Macaca mulatta: one gene and its partners. The protein of the gene in region 1 binds, or shares a complex with, the protein of each later gene. Links are inferred from orthologs where the notes say so. Each region holds a gene or a part of one and is shown in the gene's direction. Other genes may lie near its edges.

Region 1 (4,156 bases):
TAATACTTCTAAATTTTGCAAGGTTGTCTAGACATATTTATTTTTTTCCATTTAAATACCAAAGGATGAAATCTTATTCTTAAGTTTTCAAAAGACCTGGAAGGAATCCATTCATAACATATTTTAAAGCAAGAAATTGCAATAAGCCCAGAATGAGGGCTCAGACAGCTAAGTTTTGGTCCCAGCATAGTCAGTAACTATCAGGGCAACTTGAAGAGGCCAGTTAATCTCAGGTTCTTCTGTAGTGCATTGTACCTTCCCCTCCCAGAGCCCAGAGGTCTATCAAAGATAATATGAATGGTATTTGGAAAGTGCACTAAACCTCACACAGATGTAAGATCCTTTCATGAGTTCCTTCAACGACTGAAATGTCTCTTCCTACGTTCACCAGCCACTTCCTAATTCTCAAGTACAATGCACTACTTTCAGTTCTTTATTTACTTGAACTTTCTGTGACAGATGACATGATGGACCATTCCCTCTTTTTTCCCTTCATTCTCTAGTTTGCCTTTTCCTGGTTTATTTCCTATCTTGTGGGTTACTCCTTTTCTGGGTTATTCTTTCTCTGTCCATCTCTCTTAAACAGATAACATTCCACAGTTAGTGTTGGTGAGTTTCAACCAGAATTCTATACTAGGTTTTGCTTTTTTCCACCTAAGTGCATCTGGACTTTTGATATCACATATCCGGGTAATCATTTTAGAAAATAGTGTTTCCTTAATATAGGCGAAGGCTAAGCCAATCTATCTTCTAATTAATTTGGTGAGGGCTTTCTTTCATTTGTAGCAATTGATGCTTTTCATCTAACAATTATATTATATTTGCATATTTATCATTGGAACAGTCTCTGCTTGTTTTAAACCCTGTGAAAACTACGCCCTGCTTTTCAGGAATGCTTCGAATGACTTGTACGTACTAGGAAAACTTGTTTACTAAGTGAGGACCCAGAGATGACTCTTCACTTATTCCTTCATTGTTCCCGCTAGGATTGTGTATTCGCCTTTGCATTTTTCGATAGAGCTGTGAACGCGATCTACTGCAGTTAAAGGTTAGCAAACAAGATAGGCAGGAGCTAAAGGGGCGGGGTGAAGACCTGCGTGCAAGAAGGCTTCACCAGATAAAGAAGACAACTGTCCTCCATTCTGTCCTCTGCTTTTTTGCACGCAGGCTAAGAGGCGTTCACCATCTCTACGTCAGGCTTCAAAGAACAGCTCCCTTGCAATTTTGCTGATACTCCCATTCCTTAGCTTGGAACCGAAGGGGCGGTGAGGGCCGCTGTCACTCAGCCCCGCGGGCCAATAGAAAAGGGGTGAACCCCGCCTTCTTCCTTGAATTGTGCTGCGGGCATGCGCATTGGGCGTCCCCACGCCACCGCCCATCAGCTGAGAATTGCAGCTGAAGGCTCGGGGGTCGGTGGGTGACGGTGGTCGGAGGTGTAGGAGGGAGCCACCGAGGTCCAGGTAAGAGGACCCTGGGGAGGGGGGTTTCCTGGCCGTGCGACAGGGAGGCGCGGTGCCCCTGCGGCGCCGCTCCTCCTTGTTTGTGCGCGTGGTCAGGTGGCCGCCGCCCTGCGCTCTGCAGCAGGCACTCGGTAGGTGAGGAAGGGCCGGACTGCCCCGGCTCCCGGAGCGCCTGCGGCTCCCCATACCCCCAGGCCGGGTGCAGGGGCGCGGCGCGTTCCGCATTCCTGGAGTGCGCGGCTGTGGTTAGGTGGGCCTGGCCAGCCACGCACCCGCCGCGGTCCCATGGGCAGCGCTCCCGAGGCGCACGGCGTGGCCGGCGCCAGACCCGGCTGGGGCCCAGCTCAGGAATCCAGACACGACCAAATGACCTCTTCCTCTTTTCAACTCATGGATTGAAAAACACACTTTAAACTTCCCGAATATAGAGGAACTGAAAAATGTATGGCTGTAGCAGACAAACCGTGTATGTTTGTTTATTCAGTGGCTCGTAGTATTTGTTTTATTTGGCTTGATGACTTAACATACTTTCTTTGACATTCTTAGTATACACGTTTAATTAATTTACATAAAAACCTTTAAACATACATAAAGTATTTCTAGTATTTCCTCCACCTTGTTTTTTAGTTACTTACTTTCTTTAAATTCAGACAAAGAAAAAAAAGTTGCATTTCTGATCAAATGCTGTGTGTTTTTTTCCCACAAATTTCTCACATTTGCTTGACTCTTATCTATATACGTTAATTTTTGTTTACCTCAGATCGTTGTATTCTAACTATAATTATATATAGTATATAAAACTTGCCCAGAATCTGGAAGAAAAGAAAGTAATTATGAAATGCTGTGCTATTTAATAATGTTGGAAGTGAGCGTTTCTTCTGCAGGTTCTCTGAGCACACCTGGGCAGAGGCTGATAATGGTGTTAAACTGTGTTTGTGATGTGGCCAGGCCTTATAGGCCACTTTGAGAAGTTGGCCTCAGACTTGTGACTAGTTAAGAATTATGCTCTTAACTTCACAGTGTCTGCAGAGGTTAATATGATACCATATTAAGTCATTAACATCATCATTTTTCCTCGGATATGTTACTTATGTTGCTCTTGATAACAAAATCAATTCTCATTTTGATTATGACCCCAAACTTTAAGTGCTGATGATTGAAAAGTAAATTATAGAAAATATCCACAGTAAGTCTGAGTAAAGTTTACTGTGATTCCATTTAATTTGCAAGTTTCGTGTGTGAAAGTTTGAAAAAAATAATCCTTGATATTGTGAACTAAAACCAAGTAGTACAAGAGTTCAGTGATGGAAGATCTAAGGCCAAAGAATGCAGTTAATGTAGTTTGTGCAGAGGATACTTATGTAGACAGTTCCTTGAGCATTTAGTATGCACCAGGCACTGTAGATTACACAGAATGACAAGGTCATCTATCCCCTGTTTATATTCCAGAAGTAGCTCCTGTTTGTATTCCAGAGGTATAGGGATCAATAATAAAGGTTTGTATTCCAGAGGTGTAGGGATCAATAATAAACAGTAACTAATTAGACTATTGAGTATTGTGAAGCAGTAAGTTAGATTGACAAAGAGTGGCCTGTGGTGAGTTCTCACTTTCAGATCAGAGTGGTCACAAAGGTTTCTCTAGCATGTGATGAGGCCTTGCTGGGGAGAAGGAGCCAGTCACATGGAGATCATGAGAAGAGCCTTCTAGAAATAGGAAATGGCACCCAGCAAAGGCCTAAGGCAGCAAGGAGCCTGCGACCTTCGGGATCTGAAAGAAGGCACTGGAATTTTATGTTTTAGAAATGGTAATATTTACCCTCACGCTGGGTGTGTGTTCTTAGGAAGTGGGTACATTCATTCATTCTACAAATATTTGTTAAGCACTTATGATGTAGCCAGGCACTGAGAATAGTGCAATCCACAAAACAGGCAAAAAAATGCTCACCCCCCACCCGTCAGAACTTATTTGGGGTAGAGGGTAGAGAGAAGTCCAGTTGTTTATGCTGATGTTAATGATTAAGAAAGTGAAATTGACCCCTTCTTTGCCCAGAGTAGATTTATAGAGCATGAGATATATGCTAAATGGAAATCTTAAGGATTCTACAGTGTATCTGATTTTAACTGGGAGTAGTCTTTGACACTTTAAGATTACATTTTAACGTTCCCTTTGTTCATTCTTTTGTGTTCTTTAGAAGCAGTCTTGAGAAGACGCTTATCTGAGTGTTGCACTTTGATTCTCCCTTCCTGTTTTTCTCTTTATGGTGTTTGTGTATCTTCATAGAAAGATGATTATTGAGATGTGGAGATTGGCACTGTGCAATAGCTCTTTCTGTGATGATGGACGTGGTCTGTGAATGAGCTGTCCAAGCTGCTGGCCACTAGGAACACAGAATTTTTGAACGTTTGAAAGGTGTCTAGTATGACCGAGGAACTGAATTTTTCATTTAACTTAATTTTAATTTTTAATTTTTTAAAAACAAGAGCTACAATGTAATTTAAGTGATATACAATATAAAACGGTGTAAATTGTCACATCAGAAAATGAAATGTAGAGTAAAAGTGTAGTTTCTTAATGCAGTTACCTTGTTAACAGCTTATAATAAGATATTTTTTGCTTTTATTTTAATTGACAGATAATGATTATACACATTTGTGGGGTACATGTGATACCTCAGTAGATGTATACAATGTGTAAT
Region 2 (4,293 bases), on another chromosome or scaffold:
TATTTTAATTTTTTTGAGATAGGATCTTGCTTTGTCACCCAGGCTGGAGTGCAGTGGCATGATCTCAGCTCACTGCAACCACTACCTCCCGGGTTCAGGTGATTCTCCTGCCTTAGCCTCCCGAGTAGCTGGGATTACAGGCGCCCACCACCACGCTCGGCTAATTTTTGTGATTTTAGCAGAGATGGGGGTTTCACCGTGTTGGCTAGGCTGGTCTCGAACTCCTGACTTCAAGTAATCCGCCCGCGTCGGCCTCCCAAAGTGCTGGGATGATGCTTGAGCCACCATGCCCGACCTGAAGACCGGCATTTATACCCATGGAGTGCAGGAAAGGACCTTGTAATTGTTAACAAGTGACACTTAGTGGCAGATGAGACCTAATGAAGCCAGGCCCACCTTCCACACCAGATTATAAATTCCCTCGGAGCAGAGAGTAAATGTTTTATTCACCAACATGCCCAGATCCCTCGCAATGCCTACGCTTGACAAACACCTGTTGTGAACAAGTGCACGAGGCAGCCTAGCAGCTAGAGTATTTCGAGGTCATCCTAACTGGGTTCCACTTTTGAATTTTTGTTTTTTGGGTTTGTTTGGAGACAAGGTCACCCTCCACTTGGGAGCAAAGTCTCCCAAGCTGGAGTGCAGTGGTGGGAACTCTGCAATCTCAACCTTGTGGACTCAAGTAATCCTCCTGCTTCAGCCTCCGGGGTAGCTGGGGCCAGAAGTGCGCGCCACCTTGCCCGGCTCCTATTTTGGGTTTCCGGTAGTGCTCTCGCTATTGTGACCAGGCTGGTCTCGAACTACTGGGTTCAAGCAATCCTCCCACCTCGGCCTCCCAAAGTACTGGGATTACAGACGCGAGCCACTCGCCCGGCCAAGTTCCACTTCTGAAAGCTTGGGGAGCAGCTGGGCCTTCCAGGAAAAGTGCTCCACCTCCCGACTGCAGGCAGAGCCCCCGGCCCGGCTCTTTCCAGGGCCTAAAGCTAACATTCGGTCAAGACGCGAAATGAGGAATTCGGGTCAGGGTGGCAAAGCAAAGCGCGATGACAGTGAGGACGACGTCTAGACGCAAACACACATCAAATCGGGCCGAAGCCCGCTGTCGCCTGGCGGGCTAAACCTGGCACCCCGGGCAACGCGCGACTCCGGCACCAGACGCTCTCCGAGTCAAACTACATCCCCCGGCGTGCACTGCAGCGCCCGCCCCTGGCCGGCCGGCGGGGCCTGGGAGGAAGGCGGCCGAGCTGCCCGTCCCGCAGGTCCCCTAGGGCCCTTTCTCTGCGGCCTTTCCCCACCCCGGACCGGGCACTTCTCGGGCTCTGCGACTACCATTCGCCCCGCTCGCTCCCTCAGGAGTCGCCTAGGCCGCGCAGTCTGCCGCCTTCCCGTCAGGCCTTCGCGCCGGCGCTCCCGCAATCACGGGCTAGAGAGGGTGGGCGTTCCGGCTCGGGAGGACCCTTCTGCGGCCCCGGAAGAGCCTCGTCCTGGGCAGCGGTGGTGCGGCGGTCGCCGTTATGGCCACGGGACTGGGCGGCTGACCGCCGGGCTAGGAGAGGGCCCAGAGCCCCGAATCTGGGTGGCCGCTGCTCGAGCGCGTCCTGCGCCATGGCCGCCTCCGCCGCCTCCTCGGAGCATTTCGAGAAGCTGCACGAGATCTTCCGCGGCCTCCATGAAGACCTACAAGGGGTGCCCGAGCGGCTGCTGGGGACTGCTGGGACCGGTGAGGCGCGGGTGGGCCACGCCGTGGGGAGCGCGGCCCCGCGCGCTTTGGAATTTTCCCCCACCTTCCTCCCAGACCCGGGCCCGCGTCTCCTTCCTCCGCGTCCTCAGACACGCCCCCTAGGGCTGGCTGGGTCGCAACCCCGGGTCTCCCTGCCACTGAGAGTGAATTGGGGACGCGCCCAGGGACGCGGGGTTCAGTTCCCTGGGTTCCTTCTATGGCCTTCCACATTTTCTCGTTTTTTTCCACTGCGGCAAACAGAGCAGAGGGGCTTTTACATCTGCGGTCCTGTAATGTAGCGTGGGTTTCTTTCGTAGCTGTTTTTGTTTGTTTTATGCATTTAGAAGCACTAGTGTCAAGACAGGTCTAGTTTTCACCAGACTGACAGAGGATCTGTAGCACAGAAAAAGGGTTAAAAACCCAAAAGAGTCATAATTTGGGGCGTTGGTATATACCTGTTATTGGAGGGTAGAGAGCTGGCCTTTAAAACCGTATGGTGGCGTTTAGATGTGGTCTTGTTTTGAACGTTTTTACTGCTGAGACTATTTACTACCCCTTCATTTCATGGTTCAGGTTGCTACAAGTTTTGTCTGGAGGAGCTAGAGTTTTCTGGCCCTAGATCCATAGGAAGACCTGCTATATATAGTTCTTGGCCTCCGGATATATAGAACTTGATGGCAAGGACAAAACTTTGTTTTATTGCTTTTATTTAAGGATCAGAGCTTGAGTGTTTGCTCAACGAATTACTCAAGGTCATAGGAATTGAATGACTCTGGTGAGAATGAAATGCATGTATTTAATATATATTTATTGTGAGGCTGCTGTGTGCCAGGCACTGTTCTAGGTGCTGGTGAATATTGCAAATTACAGTGAAAAAGACATGCACGTCCCCATTCTAGTGGGTAGGTGATAAACAATATATAACTATTAAGCGGCAGTGTTAAAGAATACAGGAAAATAAATCAGAGTAAAGGAATAGGGGATGGGACTTCAGTTTTATTTTATTATTATTATTATTATTATTATTTTTGAGACAGAGTCTTACTCTGTCATCCAGTCTGGAGTGCAGTGGTACGATCTCGGCTCACTGCAGCCTCCACTTCCCAGATTGAAGCAATTCTCCTGCCTCAGCCTCTGGAGTAACTGGGATTACAGTTGCGCCACCACCCCTGGCTAATTTTTTTTGTATTTTTAGTAGAGACGGGGTTTCACCATGTTGGCCAGGTTGGTCTCTAACTCCTGACCTCAAGCGATCCGCTTTCCTCGGGACTTCAGTTTTAAATAGGGCGGTTGTGAAAGTCCTCTGTGAGGAGATGGCATTTGAACTGAGACTTGAATGAAGAGAGGGAGTAAACCAGAAATCTGGGAGAAGTGAGTGTCAGAAGGAGGGAATAGCACTGCAAATGCCCTTAAGCGGAAATGAGCTTGGTGTGTTCAACGAAGAGCAGGAAGTTCCATGTGTTTGGGATGAAGTGAGCAAAGGAGAGAGGTAGGCAGGGCCAGATCATGTAGGGCCTTGTGGACCATGGTGAAAGACTTGTGCCTTTTTCTAAATATGATGGGATGCAGTTAAAATATATTGTGCAGAACCATTGTGGGATCTGATTTATGTGATTGAAAAGTTGACTGCAGGCAGGGCACGGTGACTCACACCTGTAATTCCAGTGCTTGGGGAAGCAGAGGCGGGCAGATCACTTGAGGTCAGGAGTTCAAGACCAGCCTGGCCAACATAGTGAAACCCTATCTCTACTAAAAATACAAAAATTAGCCAGGCATGGTGTCAGTTGCCTGTAGTCCCAGCTACTCAGGAAGCTGAGGCAGGAGAATTGCTTGAACCCAGGAGGCAGAGGTTGCAGTGAGCCGAGATCCTGCCGCTGCACTCTAGTCTGGGCAACAGAGCAAGACTCTGTCTCAGAAAAAAAAAAAAAAAGGAAAAGAAAAGACTGCAGGCTAGGCGTGGTGGCTCACACCTGTAATCCCAGCACTTGGGGAAGCTGAGTTAGGAGTATTGCTGTATTGAATGATTTTGAGAACAGCCTGGGCAACGTGGTGAAACGCCATCTCTACAAAAAATACAAAAATTAGCCAGGCATTGTGGTGCGTGCCTGTAGTCCCAGCTCCTGGGGAGGCTGAAGTGGGAGGATCACTTGCGCCCTGGAGCTGGAGGTTGCAGTGAGCCAAGATCGCACCACTGCACTCTAACCTGGATGACAGAGCAAGACTCTGTCTAAAAAAAAAAAAAGTAGACTGCATTTTCAACCTGGCACTGAGTTAATTTTTGCATTGCCCATTTCTATAAGGCTAAATAATGCAAAAGAACATTGCTTGAAAAATAGAAAATTGAATTCATTATTACTATGGTTTGAATGTCCCCTCTAAAACTTATGTTGAAATTTATTTGCCATTTTAATCGTGTTAAGAGGTGGGACCCATAAGAAATGATTAGACCATGAGGGCTCCATCCTCAGGGATTGGATTGTTATCCTGAGAGTGGGTTGGTTGCTGAGAGAGTGGGTTAGTTCAGCCCTCTCCTGCTTGCCTGCTCTCTTGATCTGTTGCTCTTCCACCTTCTG
Region 3 (4,189 bases), on another chromosome or scaffold:
CACTGTGCTTGGTGCTTTTCATGTATTATCTCATTTAATTATCCAATCTGTGAAGTAGGTGCTATTGATTATCACCAGTTAGCCTCTGAGGAGACTGAAGCACAGGCATGCAGTGCTGTGGACAGGATTTGAGCCCAGGCAGATGCCAAGCCTGGGATACACTGCCTCTCTATTAGGTGCAGTGGGGTGATGAATACCTTACGAGAGGGTGTGTAGAGGCCTGTAGGAACACAGACAAGCACAGAGCCCTGCTTACAACAGGTGGGAGCCATATTGATTTTTTGGGGAAAAGATGGCTTTCAGTAGAGGCTGTGCCACTTTCAAGATAGGTAATCTTGCGACAGGGTTGATTGGTGGTTATTTTAATCTACTTTCAGCTCATCTCCTGAAGTGTGATACTAGTGTAGTGCAATTTCAAGGGTGGTTGTGAGGATTAAGAGAGATGAACATTCAGGTCCTAAGCATTTAGGTCCTCACAATCTATTCTTGCTGAAGTGACCTGAACAAAAGCAGATGGAGTGGGGTCGAGTCGGGGAAAAGCTTTCCAGGGAGAGGGAACACCACATTCTAAGGCTACACATCCAGAAAGAGCTTGAGCAATCCAGGAAGGGCGCAGGGTGGGGTGGCTGATGACCTTGAGGACCAGCTAAGAAACTTGGATTATTTACTAACAAAAATAAAAGAGCCACCATTTGTTGAGGGTTTCCTCTGACATTTCCATCAAAACTACGTAAATCCATCAAAACTACGTAAATCCATCAAAACTACCCCAGCAAGGTAGATTTAATAAATCCAGTTGTATACAAAAGGGAACCACCAGAAGCCATAGAAGGGCTGCATACAGGGAGGCGACTTGATCAATTTCGTGTTTTACAAAGATCCCTCAGATCATGTGTTGGAGTGATAGGAAGTACTCTACTGACTCTACTGAACTCCATACTTTAAAAAATACATAACATTTATCATTTTCTCTTTTACTCCACAATTTATACTCACTGTAGAAAATATTAAAAATATAAGAAAGTTTGAAGAAACAAAAAATTGTCACTTGTACTTTCCAGAGACATCTCAATTGATACTTTTCTTCCAGTCTTTTTTTTCTATGCAAAAAATACATAGTTATTAGAATGCCTGACAGAAGGAAGATGGAAAGAGACCACTGTGAAGCATTATTGATATTCCCTCTTCTCTTCCTCTCCATGGTATTAAGGCCATACCAAGAGGAGAGGCTGATTTCCCTACACGTGTCAGGGAAAGTCCCAACTCTGCGGCAGGGACCCAAGCTTGCCATTTTCGCCGGTCTCTAGGGGGCGCTGCCCCGAGACTGGGCGGGGAGGGCGAGAAGGCGGTGCGAAAACGCGTTTGAACTTGGGCCCTGCCGCCGCCCGTAACCGGCGTCCCCAACATGGCGGCTCCCCAAGATGTCCACGTCCGGATCTGTAACCAAGAGATTGTCAAATTTGACCTGGAGGTGAAGGCGCTTATTCAGGTACTGATCCCGGGACCCCTGCCAGGCTCCAGCAGCCCTAACCCAAGCTCTGCTGGTCTGTGAGCTCGGTAGTGTCACTCCCGAACTTTCCCCACTTGGTTTCCCAGGCCACCGGCTCCGCCCCATGACCGGCTACCCGCCCTGGTCCCCATTTGGTTGTGTCCCCGTGACTGCTGGCCTTGATCCTTTTTCCGGGTGCCGCCGGATCGCCCATCTCCAGAGCACCCAACTGTTCTCCGCCCCTGACCCAGCTACTGCTTCGAGGCTCGGCTTTGCCACTTCCACTTGCAGTCCTGGTCGTCGCTCCGCCCCTGACCTCCTCACAACCTACCTGCCACCCTGCTTGGCCCCGCCCTCTGACGCTGCTTCCCCATTCTCTGGTAGCGCCCGGTAGGCAGCTAGCCCCGCCCCCTGCTGGCCAGCTCCCCTGGCATCCAAGGGCACCTGGCTCGGGAGGCACCAGGTGAAACGAATGTAACCTGGACCGTAGTTGTGATTTTATGCTTGAGGAAATCGAATACGGCGCCAAGGCCTAGGTTAGAAGGCAGGCCTGGGTCAATGGCAAAACTGGGACCTGGACTGGGAAAGTCAACCTAGGAATAACACCTTAGAGTGTTACCCCGTTTGAACAGAGAGGAAATGAGGTGTTTTCGCCTTAAGCCATTTAAGGGTAGAGGTAAAATAAACGAGTTGACGTAGACAAGAATTAGGAATGTAGACACGGTTCCATGAGTTTAGCAAAAAGAAACCAAGAGTTTTAAACCTTGTTTTTTTGTTTTGTTTTGTTTTGTTTTTTGTTTTTGTTTGTTTTTGAGACGGAGTCTCGCTCTGTCGCTCAGGCTGGAGCGCAGTGGCGCGATCTACTCACTGCAAGCTCTGCCTCCCGGCTTCATGGCATTCTCCTGCCTCAGCCTCCCGAGTAGCTGGGACTACAGGGGCCCGCCACCACGCCCAGCTCATTTTTGTATTTTGTTTAGTAGAGACGGGGTTTCGCCGTGTTAGCCAGGATGGTCTTGATCTCCTGACTTCGTGATTTGCCCGCCTCGGCCTCCCAAAGTGCTGGGATTACAGGTGTGAACCACTGCGCCCGGCCTAAACCTTGGTTTTTAAAGCAAATCATTTTCAACAAAGTCACTAAACATTAGATGTAGACTCAGAGTTTGTAACGAGGGGTGGCAAAAAGTGCAGGAAAGTAGGGCTCCCCAGATAAACCAGATGCAGAATAAACCAAATTAGATGCAGAATAAACAAATATGGTGCAAAGAAGTGTGATTAAATTAATAACCAGAGAAAAAGTGAAATTTGATGCAGATATTTAAAACTTCTCGAACTTCACTTCTCTGATGTATACATTACAAAACTTCTGGGCCAGTTATAGAAAAATAAACTTAGGTTTCATACAAATGAAATCACATTTTCACATAATCTAAATTGCTTAGGCACCCTTCTGTACTCTTTCTAACATTTGGGTTCTTGTGATTGCTGATGAGAAAGATTGATTATAGCTGGATGTAGTGCACCCTTACTGTGTTCCAGCAGCTCTGCTAAGTGCTTTACATACACACATAATCTATGATGTTCTCTGAGGTAAGTAGGGTTGTGATGAGGAAACTGAGACACAGAGAATTTAAATAACTTTCCAGGTAACTTTACACAGCTAATAAGTTGCTACAGCCAGGATTCGAATCCACATGGTCTGTCTCCAGAGCCTGCTCTGAAAACTGGCACCAGTAATTCTGAATGTCCAGCAACAGATTCTAAATCTGCCCTTAAACATGTTTATATAAACACTCTAAATATCACTGACGGTTTGTAAAATCACACTGAAAAAGTTAATCTCATCATATGAGGCCAGATCTTTAAACATCCTCATCTTACAAGTTGAAAGGATCTAAGGTTCTAAAGTTATAGTATTACTTTCGCATGTCCATTCTTGTTGGGCATATAAGCTGTTTTAAGCTTTTTCATACTGGCCAGGTAATGTTTTGTTAAAATTTAGGCACTAAAAATTAGGTCAAAGCAGTTGTGTTTCTTTCTAGGCTTTTATATTAATTCAACATTAATCTAAAGAGGAATGAGAAAAATGCCAATGATAATGTTTTTGCTTGTGTTGCAGAGGTAAACAGCAAAGATCAGGATGAATTATAGTCAGTATCAGTACATTAATATTAGTTGGTCTAAACCAACTCTCTCACTGTATGGATGGTGTCATTTCATTTCATTGCCTTAAGAAAGGCCTTTCATCTGTTCAATGTCTCCTAGGATATCCGTGATTGTTCAGGACCCTTAAGTGCTCTTACTGAACTGAACACTAAAGTAAAAGAGAAATTTCAACAGTTGCGTCACAGAATACAGGTGGGTATTCTCAGAACTGAGATGCTGAGTATCTGTCAATGAAGGGGGCTCAGTCCTGGGTGTATCCTCTGCTTGAGAGCCGTCTGGGTTCTTCAAACACCAGCTGATGGGAGCAGTAAACACTTAAGACAGTGAGGGTGACTCTGTACTAACCTGCTGTCCAGGTAAAAACGAGAAACTTTTGCGTGCAGAACACTGCCAGCTGTGTCAACAAGTGGATGGCAGGAACACCATTATCCTTGGAATTTTTGAAACCCTGAGGCCACTTCAAATACTTTCTCTTCTCTACCTTCTTTCTACCCTATTCATTTGTTCACTACCTCAATCCATCACACTCCTGGGTTT
Region 4 (4,009 bases), on another chromosome or scaffold:
CCTCCTTGTGACCGGGGCTTCTTGGGCCGGAATTTCCAACAGGAAAGGATCTCAGCCCCCACCGCGCCCTGCCACACACACAGTGACGCCCCTCGAGCTCCACAGAACCGATGGGATGTAGACGGGAAAGCCGAAGTGGAAAGGACTTTTCAGTCCCGGGCCATTGGGTTCGTTAGGCGTTTGCTGGGGAATGCAGGCGAACGGGACTCCCAGGCCCCTGCCTTTGTGGAGCTTATGTTCCAGAGGGGAAGGCAGACAAGGAAAAACAAAAGGACATGAGGCGGTCACAGGGCTGTGCTTCAAAAGAAGCAAAAGGTGACTGCTGGGCTGCAAGGGCTGTGAGGAAGTGGTGTTTTTGCTAACACTGGACGATGGGAAGCGAGCTGGGAAAAGACTGGAGGAGCCACTCCAGGCAGAAGGAGCAGCACTTGCAAAGGTGGAAGGGCCGTGAGGGGCCGAGAGAAAGGGGAGCAACGCAGTCTGGCCTGGACTCAGTTCCCTCTTGACAAGCAAAGATCCTGCGTGTCCGTTTCAGTGGCCATCAGGAGGATTCAGTGACGCACAGGAAGCGCGGTCCACTGGCTCTTGTAACAAGTGCCCGGGAGCAAAGGCGTCTACGGCCCCCACTCCCCGTGCCGCCTCCCAGTCTCTTTCCCTGCTTCACTTTCCTGTAGCGCTTTCCGCACACCTGTATTCGACGCGGCGCGCACTCGCAGGCACTAGCGAGGCGCCGATCTCCACTTGACAGAGGAGGCACCCTTGCCCCCTCCACACCCAGGGCTCCTCGCGGGCTTCTGCCCGAGGGGCCTACTCCTCCCTCATGACCCGCCTGTGAATCCTTCCTAACCGTTAGGACCTAACGCATGGCAGCGTCTTTCCACCACCATCGTCTTGGCACTGAGCAAGCAAACGGCCCCGCCCCGCCCCACGTTCACAGGAACAACAAACAAACGTCACATCCGCGGTGCTGCTGTAATCCCAGCACCTTGGGAGCCCGGCAGGCGGGGGCTGCAGTGAGCTGAGATCGCGCCACTGCCTGGGCGACAGTGCTGAAAATAAGTCACAGCGACGCCCATCGCTTCCGCGACCCCGCGGTTCCCCACCCTCGGGCCTAAGCCGGAAATCAGCGAGCCCGACGCGGAAGCGGCTGGGCCATCTAGGGGCGTGGTTGGCGCGGAGGCGGGGCCATCGCTGGCGGGGGGCGGGGCCGGAAGCCCGTTCCCCGTGACTGCGCCACGTCTGAGGCGGCTGTGGCCGCGTCGGTGTTGGCGTCGAGGAGCCGGGGCAGGGCACGATGGCGGACTGGGCTCGGGGTGAGCGCGGGAGAGCGGAGCCGTTGGGGGCAGGGCCGGGCCGGAACCGACGCCGCTGCCTGTAGAGCCGCGTGCGCCTGCCTCTGGCCTCGGCGGGGAGGACCCTGTCAGGGGGGCGGATTCGGATCCTTCCGGGTCCCAGCAGGGCCGGGTTTCGGCCAGCACTGCCGCTAGGAAGGACGGCGGGCGGGGCGGCCCAGCAGCTCCAGCGAGGGGTCGCGCAGCTGCGGGGTCCCCCCACTCCCCGCCGCTCCCTGTGAGATCGTTTTGCATGGGTTCAGGGTGAGCGGGAGTCTCGGCATTCGACAGGTCCCGAGGCCAGGCCTTCGGAGTAGGCTGTGCTCCGCTGGTGTCCAGGCAGGCCTCTGCTAACTAACTTGGGCCTCGGTGGCCCCATTTCCCCTCCTGGAGCCCGTGTTCTTCTCTGCAAAGTGGGATATTGATGCCTGTCTGAGTTATGATGAGTAAAGGAATTAATGAACAGGAAGTGGTTGGAAGGACGCTGGCATCCCTTCCTTAACGTTGAAGCTAGGGAGAAGGTGGTTCTCACCCACCTGAGGTGACAGAAATTCCTTATCACCTGGCCCAGCCTGTCACAGGCCGGGCCTCTGCAAGCGCTGTGCTCTGGGTGTTGCAGGAAGCCCTGTGTGGGATGCAGACCAGGGATCACGCTCCTGGTCGACCTCAGCTCCCATCTCGCGGAATTGGGAACTTTGCTCAGCTGTTTTCTGTGCGGTAAAGGGCCTTCCCAATGTTCTGTCCTGGTTCCTTGCCACCTCTTCAGGACCCAGCTCAAAGGTCGTCCCTGCAGGAGCCTTTCTGCTGCCCTGCTGGGTACTTTTCCCAAGTCTTTCCTATGCTCTTAGCAGAGTTTACTCTTTTTCTATAAGAATGGGCTCCACATACACAGATGGCGACCTCCCTGGATGCAAGTGTCACATCTTATTAACATCCCAGAGCTGGGCCCAGTTTTTGCTACACAGTCTCAGAAGGTGCTGGTTGGACTGAACCCACTGTGGGTGCTGGCCCATCCCCACCTGGATGTGTACACAGGACACGTGTTCACATGACAGGCCCTTGCACACATCGTCCTTTATGCAGTCTCTCTCACATGTGCAAGATTCACCTGCTGGAACCTAGGTTAGGTCCCCTAGATTTCTGACTCACCCAGTTGTGGTTGGAGTGAGAGGGGTCAGAGGCCTCGCTCCCCGATGGATGCAATCACTCAGCCCCTCTCTTTTCTCAGCTCAGAGCCCGGGCGCTGTGGAAGAGATTCTAGACCGGGAGAACAAGCGAATGGCCGACAGCCTGGCCTCCAAAGTCACCAGGCTCAAATCGGTCAGTGGTGGTCTGTCCTCTTACCTCCACCTGGTGCCCTTGGGGAATGGGGATCAGAGGGAAGGTAGAGGGCCCAGAGGAGTTTCAGGCAGTTTGCCGTCCTCCTCGTTCGATTCGTGGCTGTGCTCACCTGCATGAGGCCCCAGCTGACACCTGGACCTTCCTGCTGCTGCCCCACTGTGTCTGGCAGAGTTGTTGGCAGGGTTTGTCTGGTCTGGGAAGGGTGAGTGCTGTATTATGTGTCTGCTCTGGCCCAACCCTGCCCTCTCTGTGTGCTGAACAGCTCGCCCTGGACATCGATAGGGATGCAGAGGATCAGAACCGGTACCTGGATGGCATGGTAAGGGCCCACGGTGTGCGCGAATCAGTGCCCTGCCCCCAGCACTACCTGCTACAGAGCTTGCAGTGTCTCCTTCAGCACTGGTGCGGGTGGGTGGTCAAATCACCACTTCTGTGTGATCTTGCCGGGATTCTTCCCTTAGGACTCGGATTTCACAAGCATGACCGGCCTGCTTACAGGGAGTGTGAAGCGCTTTTCCGCAATGGCAAGGTCCGGACGAGACAACCGGAAGCTTCTATGTGGCATGGCTGTGGGTCTGATTGTGGCCTTCTTCATCCTCTCCTACTTCTTGTCGAGGGCAAGGACGTGAGACAGTGGGAGCTGGTGTCTGTGGGTGCCAAGGGCAGCCATTGTCTTCCCTGCCTGGCATCTTGGGCTCCAGAGGACTTACCTGCAAAGTACTCCTTTGAAATTATAATCGTGGGCCAGGAATCCTTTCTGTGTGGCAGGAGGCTGCGGCTGCCTGTGACCTGATGAGCTCATGTTGGCTGGTCCCATGTGTGGAAGGGACTCTTTCGGGGAAACCAAGGCCCAGCCCCTCCCCCCTTCCCCAGATGCTAGAGACACAAGCAGAGCTGGGGCCGCAGCGTGTCTGGAGGAGCCAGGTCTGAGCAGAGCAACTGTTGAATCCCAGGCGTGGCCACCTGTGGCCTGCAGCCTTTCTCCCAGCTCTTGGGACGCTGACATCTGAAGGCTCCACGGTCGTGTCCTTGTCTGGATGAGGCCATGTCTGTGATCCAAGGTTCCTGGAACTGACACAGGAAGGGGCTGTGAACCCTAAGTGGGTGCTATCTCCTCCAACTGAGGCTTCTCAGCCTGGAGATGGCAGTTACTCCTGGCCATGGTTGCTGAGCACAGGAGACCAGTGCGGGCCACCCTGCTGTGAGTTCTCTGTGCCTACTCTCCAGTCCTGCGGATGAAGTGAGACCCCTGGGGAGAACGGGTTGTGGATGAAGGAGTGGACTGCAGCCTTGGCCTAGCCACTGGGTGGGATCCTTCTGGGTCCTGTGACTGTGTA
Region 5 (3,500 bases), on another chromosome or scaffold:
TGTGTAGTCCTTCAGTATACTTCATGAGAGAAAACAACAGCAAAAGAATTTTTTTAATAATGGTACCAGAGGCAGGAAGCTGGCCGTGGGAGCCCAGGGGAGAGCGCATAAGTAGATACAGCTACAGCCATAGCAGTCAGCTTGCACCCCTGGAGTGCAGTGGTTGAGATGGAAAAGTCGATTACCAGGCAGCACAGCTGTGTTTTAAAATTTTCTCCTGAGAGCAGGGACGTTGTTCACACTGACGCTCTCGGTCATCCAGCACCGGCCACCATGTTGCTGCAGCTGGAAATGGGGGCTTCGCCAGTGGTTCCTGGAGCGCAGGTCCGCTTTCTTGTTAGACGCTTGCCTGAGTTCAGTATGATGTCATCCTGAGTGTGTTTGTTTCCTCGCAGTTTGAACAGGAAAATCAGCGACTCATTGGTGAAATGAACAGCTTGTTTGATGAAGTGAGGTATGTTTGTAGCTCCTCTGTGAGCTGAGAGCCTGCTTTACAACTTTCCAGGAACTAGGAACGTTATTTACCTTGGTGCCCAGGCATCCACATGGGGCCCCTGGGCTGGTGCAGCCCCCCTCAGCCATTTTGACAGGGCTGGGGTGGGCATGTGGCCTGAATCTACAACTCCCTCAGCCTGTGGGCCTGTGGGTTACCTCCCGCCTGCTGCCACTGCTGCGGGGGGCCCAGATGCTTTCTACCCCAAGAGATGCAGGAGTGACTGCAGATTACCTGCGTGTAATTTCCACCACCATTTGGGCTGTTTCCATGCAGCGACTCTGAAATGAAATGGGGCCCTCGTGAAGGACAGCTGACCAAGGGAAGCCCTCTTTTGCAAATGGCTCCACTGGGGTCTGCCTGCTCCTGTACCCACTAGGGGGTCAGGAATGCAGAAGGCAAGGCCTTGGTCACCCACACGTGCACCCACTGAACTCTAGTTTCTGTGGGAAGGCCTGCAGCATGCTGAAAGTAAGGCCCAGGACTTTGCAGAGCCTGTTGTATTGTGGACATGTCCCCCAAATCAAATCAATCCTGATGCTGCACTCACACAGCCTGAGGATTTTCTCAGTGTAGGTGTCAGCCTCCCAGGGGCTCTTCGCCTTCTGCCCTCAGATGGACCTCCTAGTCCTCCTCCAACAGCCTACCTTTCACTGTCCGTCCCCGCTACTCCCCCATGCCCAGATACTCACGGGCTTTTCTTCCCCCATCTCCTCCCCTGCCCTCCTGCCACTGTGACACTGTTGGGATTCGTGTCTGCTTCCACCTGGCCAGGAGCTCAGCTCCCACCACTTTTCGCCTCCTGCCACTTCCTGTCGCTGCTTTGTGCTGGAACAGCAGTTAACTTCAGCCTGGGCCAGCTTCCGTTTGTAAATAGATGGGCCCCGACCTGTCCCCCAGGGTAGCCCAGGCTGCCCCTGACACCAGGAAGATGGCTAGCCCAAGTGTTTCCGATCCGACAGAACACTCCATTGCCAAACCAAGACATGGCATTTTCTAAATGAATCAGAGGAGCTTTTTTCTTGGAACAGGGAGTTGGTTTGAGGGTAAATACACTTTTTTCTTTAACCCGCTGAGCAGTAACAAAGCAGGATCATCAGCATATTCTGACCTTCTGAATCCCCACCATGTGTTACCATGGTGACAAGGCTAGGCAGAGAACTTACTGGAGACTGCTTTCTGTAACTGGGGCATAACCAGACCCTCCCTGGTCCTTGACCAGTGACACAGAATGCAAAGGGCACTGCCCACCCCCACCTCTTGGGACTGGGCTCAGTTGGCATGGTAGAGTGGACTTCCAAAAAGCCCAGCGTGCTAGGCTACACCGGGAGACAGGGAAGGTGACCCAGTAAGGAGAGTTTGCCTTCCTCTCCAATCTCTTCCCCCAGCCAACATGGTATGCTCCCCCGTCTCTCCCACCTTCATGTAGAAGACAGGATTTCTTTAGAAATGTGTAACAGTCCTGTTAGATTACCAAGTACTAATAGTTAATATGTAATCTATTCTTCTTTTTATGAAGGCAAATCGAAGGGAGAGTGGTTGAGATTTCCAGACTCCAAGAGATATTCACGGAAAAGGTTTTGCAACAGGTAAAAACAAAAACAAAGTAGCTGTACGTTTTAACTTAAAGGGGAATGTACTTGAGAGACATTTTTCCCAAAGGCTGCTGCTCTGCGCAGCCAGGAGCAGAGCCATGTGTTGCTAGCGGGTGTGCGTGCGCAGAGCTCCTCAGGGCAAAGCTCTCACTACCCAGAGCTGCCTCTGCACACGTGTGATGGAGGAGAAGCTCCCCACAGGGGATCCACTGGCCCCACTGACCACGCCGTGTGGTGGCGCATGCAGTGGCATGTGGGAGGAGAGTCCAGGCCTGGCAGTCAGGGTTCTGGATGTGCTGGGTGAGCTAGGTAGCCCGGCCAGGCAACAGTTTCCCATCTATAGATTGGAGTGACCCCTGCAGGGTTGTTCTCCATTTGAGAGAGAACTACAGAACGATGCTGACGGGCAGTTGCTTTTCCGTCAGTAGAGTTACAGGAGCTCAGGCCCAGGCCTCTCACAGTGCGAGGTCCATGCCGCCTCAGGGATGGTGCCTGCATGGGAAATAGGATTGTTCTTTTCTTTTTTTTTTTTTTTTTTGAGACGGAGTCTCGCTCTGTCGCCCAGGCTGGAGTGCAGTGGCCAGATCTCAGCTCACTGCAAGCTCCGCCTCCCGGGTTTCCGCCATTCTCCTGCCTCAGCCTCCCGAGTAGCTGGGACCACAGGCGCCGCCACCTCGCCCGGCTAATTTTTTGTGTTTTTAGTAGAGACGGGGTTTCGCCGTGTTAGCCAGGATGGTCTCGATCTCCTGACCTTGTGATCCGCCCGTCTCGGCCTCCCAAAGTGCTGGGATTACAGGCTTGAGCCACCGCGCCCGGCCAGGATTGTTCTTTTCAAGTCAATTTTCTGAAATTCTTCCAGCCAATAACTGGCAAAACTTTTAGGGACCTAATAAATTTGCCCTTTTCTTTTTAGCACCCAAAGACAATGGGAATGTTTGAAAGACAAATTTTTCTCCAGTATGTTAAACTACTTAACTTAAAATACTTCTCTCAAAATGACTTTCCATAAACCACACAGCCAGAGTGAAATCATTGTAAATGAGGTACATTAAGTCTAACAGCAGTTTGGAAGTTCGGGTTCATAGGAGTTGCTCTTTTGAATAACACTACCCTGCTTCAAACCTCCCAGCGGCTGCAGGGGGCCTGGAAGGGGTGTGCAGAGCACAGGCAGAGCCTTGCCTTGGCTCACCAGGAGTTTTTTTTTTATTTTTTTTAATTTTTTTTTGGAGACGGAGTCTCGCTGTGTCACCCAGGCTGGAGTGCAGTGTTGTGATCTTGGCTCACTGCAACCTCCTCCTGGGTTCAAGCGATTCTCCTGCCTCAGTCAGCCTCCCGAGTAGCTGGGATTACAGGCATGCCACCACGCCTGGCTAATTTTGGTATGTTTAGTAGAGACGGGGTTTCACCATCTT
Region 6 (3,500 bases), on another chromosome or scaffold:
TGAAGTGCAATGGCGTGATCTCAGCTCACTGCAACCTCCGCCTCCTGGGTTCAAGTGTTTCTCCTGCCTCAGCCTCCCAAGTAGCTGGGATTACAAACATGTGACACCATGCCCGGCTAATTTTGTATTTTTAGTAGAGACGGGGTTTCTCCATGTTGGTTAGGCTAGTCTCAAATTCTCGACCTCAAGTGATCTGCCCGCCTCAGCCTCCCAAAGTGCTGGGGTTACAAGCACCTGAGTAAGTATTTTTTTGTTTGTTTGTTCATTTGTTTTTGAGACGGAGTCTCGTTTTGTTGCCAGGCTGGAGTGCAGTGACATGATCTGGGTTCACTTCAGCCTCCGCCTCCGCGTTCAAGCGATTCTCCTGCCTCAGCCTCCCGATTAGCTGGGACTACAGGCGTGCGCCACCACACCCAGCTAGTTTTTGTATTTTTAGTAGAGACAGGGTTTCACCATGTTCGCCAGGATGGTCTCCGTCTCTTGATCTTGTGATCTGCTTGCCTCGGCCTCCCAAAATGCTGGGATTACAGGCGTGAGCCACTGCACCCGGCCAAGTAACTGTATTTATTTATTTATTTTGAAACGGAGTCTCGCTCTGTCACCCAGGCTGGAGTGCAGTGGTGGGATCTCAGCTCACTGCAGCCTCCAGGTTGAAGCGATTCTCCTGCCTTTGCCTCCTGAGTAGCTGGCACTACAGGTGCATGCCACCACACCTGCCTAATTTTTTGTATTTTTAGTAGAGACGGAGTTTCACCATGTTAGCCAGGTTGATCTCGATCTCTTGACCTCGTGATCTGCTGCCTCAGCCTCCCAAAGTGCTAGGATTAGAGGCGTGAGCCACCGCGCCTGGCTGAGTAACTGTATTTTTAAATATTTTTACTGATGGGTGGGCATGCTGGCTCACACCTGTAATCCCAGTACTTGGGAGGCTGAGGTGGGAGGATTGTGCGAGCCCAGGAGTTCAAGACCAGCCTGGGCAATATAGCAAGACCCTATCTCTACAAAAGTTAAAAATTAGCTAGGTGCGGTGGCGTGCCCTGTAGTCCCAGCTACTTGGGAGGCTGATGTGGGAGGATCGCTTGAGCCCAGGATGTCGAGGCCGCAGTAAGTTACGATCATGCTACTATATTCCAACCTGGGAGACAGAGTGAGACCCTGTCTCAAAAATAGTAAAGTTATAAAAATGTGTTTTTCAGCTCATGGTAAAGCTGCTTTTCTATATGATCTCCAAGAACTTTGCAGTCATCCTTATTGATTTCCTGATTTGAGGAATAGAATGGCAATACTAGCTACCATTTATTTAGTGCTTACTATGTACCAGGTAGTTGACTGAAGTACTTTTCAGCCTTTTTGTTATTTAACCTTAGCAACAACAATGGGAGATGTGTGTATTGTCTTCGTCTTATAGAAGAGGAAATAGAGATTCAGAATGTTTTAAGTAACTTGCCCCAAATCCCCCAGCTAGTAAGTGGTAAGTCAAGATTTGAACTCAGATCTACTTGTCTTCAAATCTGGACTCTAAATGACTTCCACTCATAAGTCTGGATCATCTGATGGATGCCACTAGTGCTAGAGATAGTTTAGTGGACTCCTCAGGAAGAGTGAAAGCTGGAACTGGGGAAGGGAGAACTAAAGTTGTCACTTCCTGCCATTGCTTTTCAGAATGGAATCCAGACAAATAAGCCAGCTTTGCGTGCTGTCCGACAACGCAGTGAATTCACCCTCATGGCCAAGTGAGTTGAGAGAAGCTTTCTGGTGGGGTGCTACAATGTCTGAAGAAAAGTAGACTTGCGATCAGTGGCCTTGGCTGTGAAGTCTGGGGTTGGTTGTGCTGGACCTTATGTGGGAAAAGGCCTCCTGCCCTTTCCCACAGTCTCACTAGTGGTCATTTGCAGGCGCATTGGGAAAGACCTTAGCAACACATTTGCCAAGCTGGAGAAGCTGACAATCTGTGAGTGTTTTTGGGGTCTTTCAGAAGTGGGGCAGTAAATCAAAGAGGACTGAGGGCTATATTCCCTGAGTTTTGTCGTTGACCTCACCCATTGTGGCTTCTTGTTTGTCTCTGTAGTGGCAAAGCGCAAGTCCCTCTTTGATGATAAAGCAGTGGAAATTGAAGAACTAACATATATCATCAAACAGGTGAGCTACTAGCCATCAGGAGAGCCCAGCATTCCAATCAGATCACTTCTGTCTTCCTGTCATTTTCCATTGCCATGGGGACCCAGAGCAAGTTTCTTTTTTTAGAGAGGGGGTCTCACTGTGTTGACCAGACTGGAGTGTTGTGGTGTGATCCTAGCTCACTATAGCTGTTAACTCCTGGGCTCAAGCTATCCTCCAGCCTGAGCCTCCTGAGCGGTTGAGACTATAGGGACGTGCCCTCATACCTGGATAATTTTTTTTTTTTTTTTTTGAGACAGAGTTTTGCTCTTTTGCCCAGGTGGGAGTGCAGTGGTGTGATCTTGGCTCACTGTAACCTCCACCTCCCAGGTTCAGGCTATTCTCCTGCCTCAGCCTCCCCCATACCTGGGACTACAGCCACCTGCCACCAATGCCTGGCTAATTGTTTTCTCTTTAGTAGAGAAGGGGTTTCACCATGTTGGCCAGACTGGTCTCAAACTCCTGACCTCAAGTGAGCCGCCCACTTCGGCTTCCCAGAGTGCTGGGATTACAGGTGTGAGCCACTGCACTCAACTGTAATAACATTTATTTATTTATTTATTTATTTATTTATTATTTTTTGAGACAGAGTTTCACTCTTGTTGCCCAGGCTGGAGCACAGTGGTGTGATCTCAGTTCACCACAACCTCTGTCTTCTGGGTTCAAGTGATTCCACTGCCTCAGCCTCCTGAATAGCTGGGCACATGCCACCGTGCCCAGCTAATTTTGTATTTTTAGTAGAGGTGGGGTTTCTCCATGTTGGTCAGGCTGGTCTCAAACTCCTGACTTCAGGTGGTCCCCCCACTTCAGCCTCCCAAAGTGGTGGGATTACAGGCGTGAGCCCCAGCGCCAGGCCAATAATAACTTTTCTTTTCTTTTTTTTTTTTAAAGATGGTGTCTTACTCTGTTGCCAGGCTGGAGTGCAGTGGTGCGATCTAGGCCTACTGCTACCTCCACCTCCCAGGTTCAAGTGATTCTTTTGCCTCAGCCTCCCAAGTAGCTGGGACTGTGGGACTATAGGCATGCGCCACCACACCCAGCTAATTTTTTGTATTTTTAGTAGAGATGGGGTTTCACCATGTTGGCCAGGATAGTCTCAATCTCTTGACCTCATGATCTGTCTGCCTTGGCCTCTCAAAGTGCTGGGTTTACAGATGTGAGCCACTGAGGAATTGTGTGTATAAATATAATTCTGTTGATGCCTCTTGAAGCTACAGTGCCTTTGACTCTTCCCTTTTCCTGAGTGCTGTCCAGGGGCTTTGTTGGTCATGCTCTAGACCCAAGATTTTGGCCTTTGAAAGGGTTCTGTGGCCAAGAGCATGGCCTCACAGAATGGAGCAGGG

What was found.
Region 2: STX7 (region 1) and VTI1B share a complex: the UniProt entries of both Homo sapiens proteins name them as parts of the SNARE complex. The link is inferred for Macaca mulatta from reciprocal best matches to the Homo sapiens genes STX7 and VTI1B.
Region 3: STX7 (region 1) and BNIP1 share a complex: the UniProt entries of both Homo sapiens proteins name them as parts of the SNARE complex. The link is inferred for Macaca mulatta from reciprocal best matches to the Homo sapiens genes STX7 and BNIP1.
Region 4: STX7 (region 1) and BET1L share a complex: the UniProt entries of both Homo sapiens proteins name them as parts of the SNARE complex. The link is inferred for Macaca mulatta from reciprocal best matches to the Homo sapiens genes STX7 and BET1L.
Region 5: STX7 (region 1) and STX18 share a complex: the UniProt entries of both Homo sapiens proteins name them as parts of the SNARE complex. The link is inferred for Macaca mulatta from reciprocal best matches to the Homo sapiens genes STX7 and STX18.
Region 6: STX7 (region 1) and STX5 share a complex: the UniProt entries of both Homo sapiens proteins name them as parts of the SNARE complex. The link is inferred for Macaca mulatta from reciprocal best matches to the Homo sapiens genes STX7 and STX5.

What each region holds. Positions count from the first base shown.
Region 1 is NC_133409.1:37,533,228-37,537,383, reverse strand, and holds the start of STX7 (syntaxin-7), read left to right. Parts: upstream 1-1,356; 5' UTR 1,357-1,460; intron 1,461-4,156. UniProt on the Homo sapiens protein: May be involved in protein trafficking from the plasma membrane to the early endosome (EE) as well as in homotypic fusion of endocytic organelles. Mediates the endocytic trafficking from early endosomes to late endosomes and lysosomes.
Region 2 is NC_133412.1:140,848,895-140,853,187, reverse strand, and holds the start of VTI1B (vesicle transport through interaction with t-SNAREs homolog 1B), read left to right. Parts: upstream 1-1,493; 5' UTR 1,494-1,605; coding exon 1,606-1,720; intron 1,721-4,293. UniProt on the Homo sapiens protein: V-SNARE that mediates vesicle transport pathways through interactions with t-SNAREs on the target membrane. These interactions are proposed to mediate aspects of the specificity of vesicle trafficking and to promote fusion of the lipid bilayers.
Region 3 is NC_133411.1:182,025,713-182,029,901, forward strand, and holds the start of BNIP1 (vesicle transport protein SEC20), read left to right. Parts: upstream 1-1,389; 5' UTR 1,390-1,405; coding exon 1,406-1,489; intron 1,490-3,751; coding exon 3,752-3,844; intron 3,845-4,189. UniProt on the Homo sapiens protein: As part of a SNARE complex may be involved in endoplasmic reticulum membranes fusion and be required for the maintenance of endoplasmic reticulum organization. Also plays a role in apoptosis.
Region 4 is NC_133419.1:81,260-85,268, reverse strand, and holds BET1L (BET1-like protein), read left to right. Parts: upstream 1-1,209; 5' UTR 1,210-1,294; coding exon 1,295-1,313; intron 1,314-2,559; coding exon 2,560-2,651; intron 2,652-2,934; coding exon 2,935-2,991; intron 2,992-3,133; coding exon 3,134-3,301; 3' UTR 3,302-3,926; downstream 3,927-4,009. UniProt on the Homo sapiens protein: Vesicle SNARE required for targeting and fusion of retrograde transport vesicles with the Golgi complex. Required for the integrity of the Golgi complex.
Region 5 is NC_133410.1:8,565,425-8,568,924, forward strand, and holds part of STX18 (syntaxin-18), read left to right. Parts: intron 1-395; coding exon 396-454; intron 455-2,012; coding exon 2,013-2,082; intron 2,083-3,500. UniProt on the Homo sapiens protein: Syntaxin that may be involved in targeting and fusion of Golgi-derived retrograde transport vesicles with the ER.
Region 6 is NC_133419.1:11,227,362-11,230,861, forward strand, and holds part of STX5 (syntaxin-5), read left to right. Parts: intron 1-1,662; coding exon 1,663-1,733; intron 1,734-1,895; coding exon 1,896-1,951; intron 1,952-2,068; coding exon 2,069-2,139; intron 2,140-3,500. UniProt on the Homo sapiens protein: Mediates endoplasmic reticulum to Golgi transport.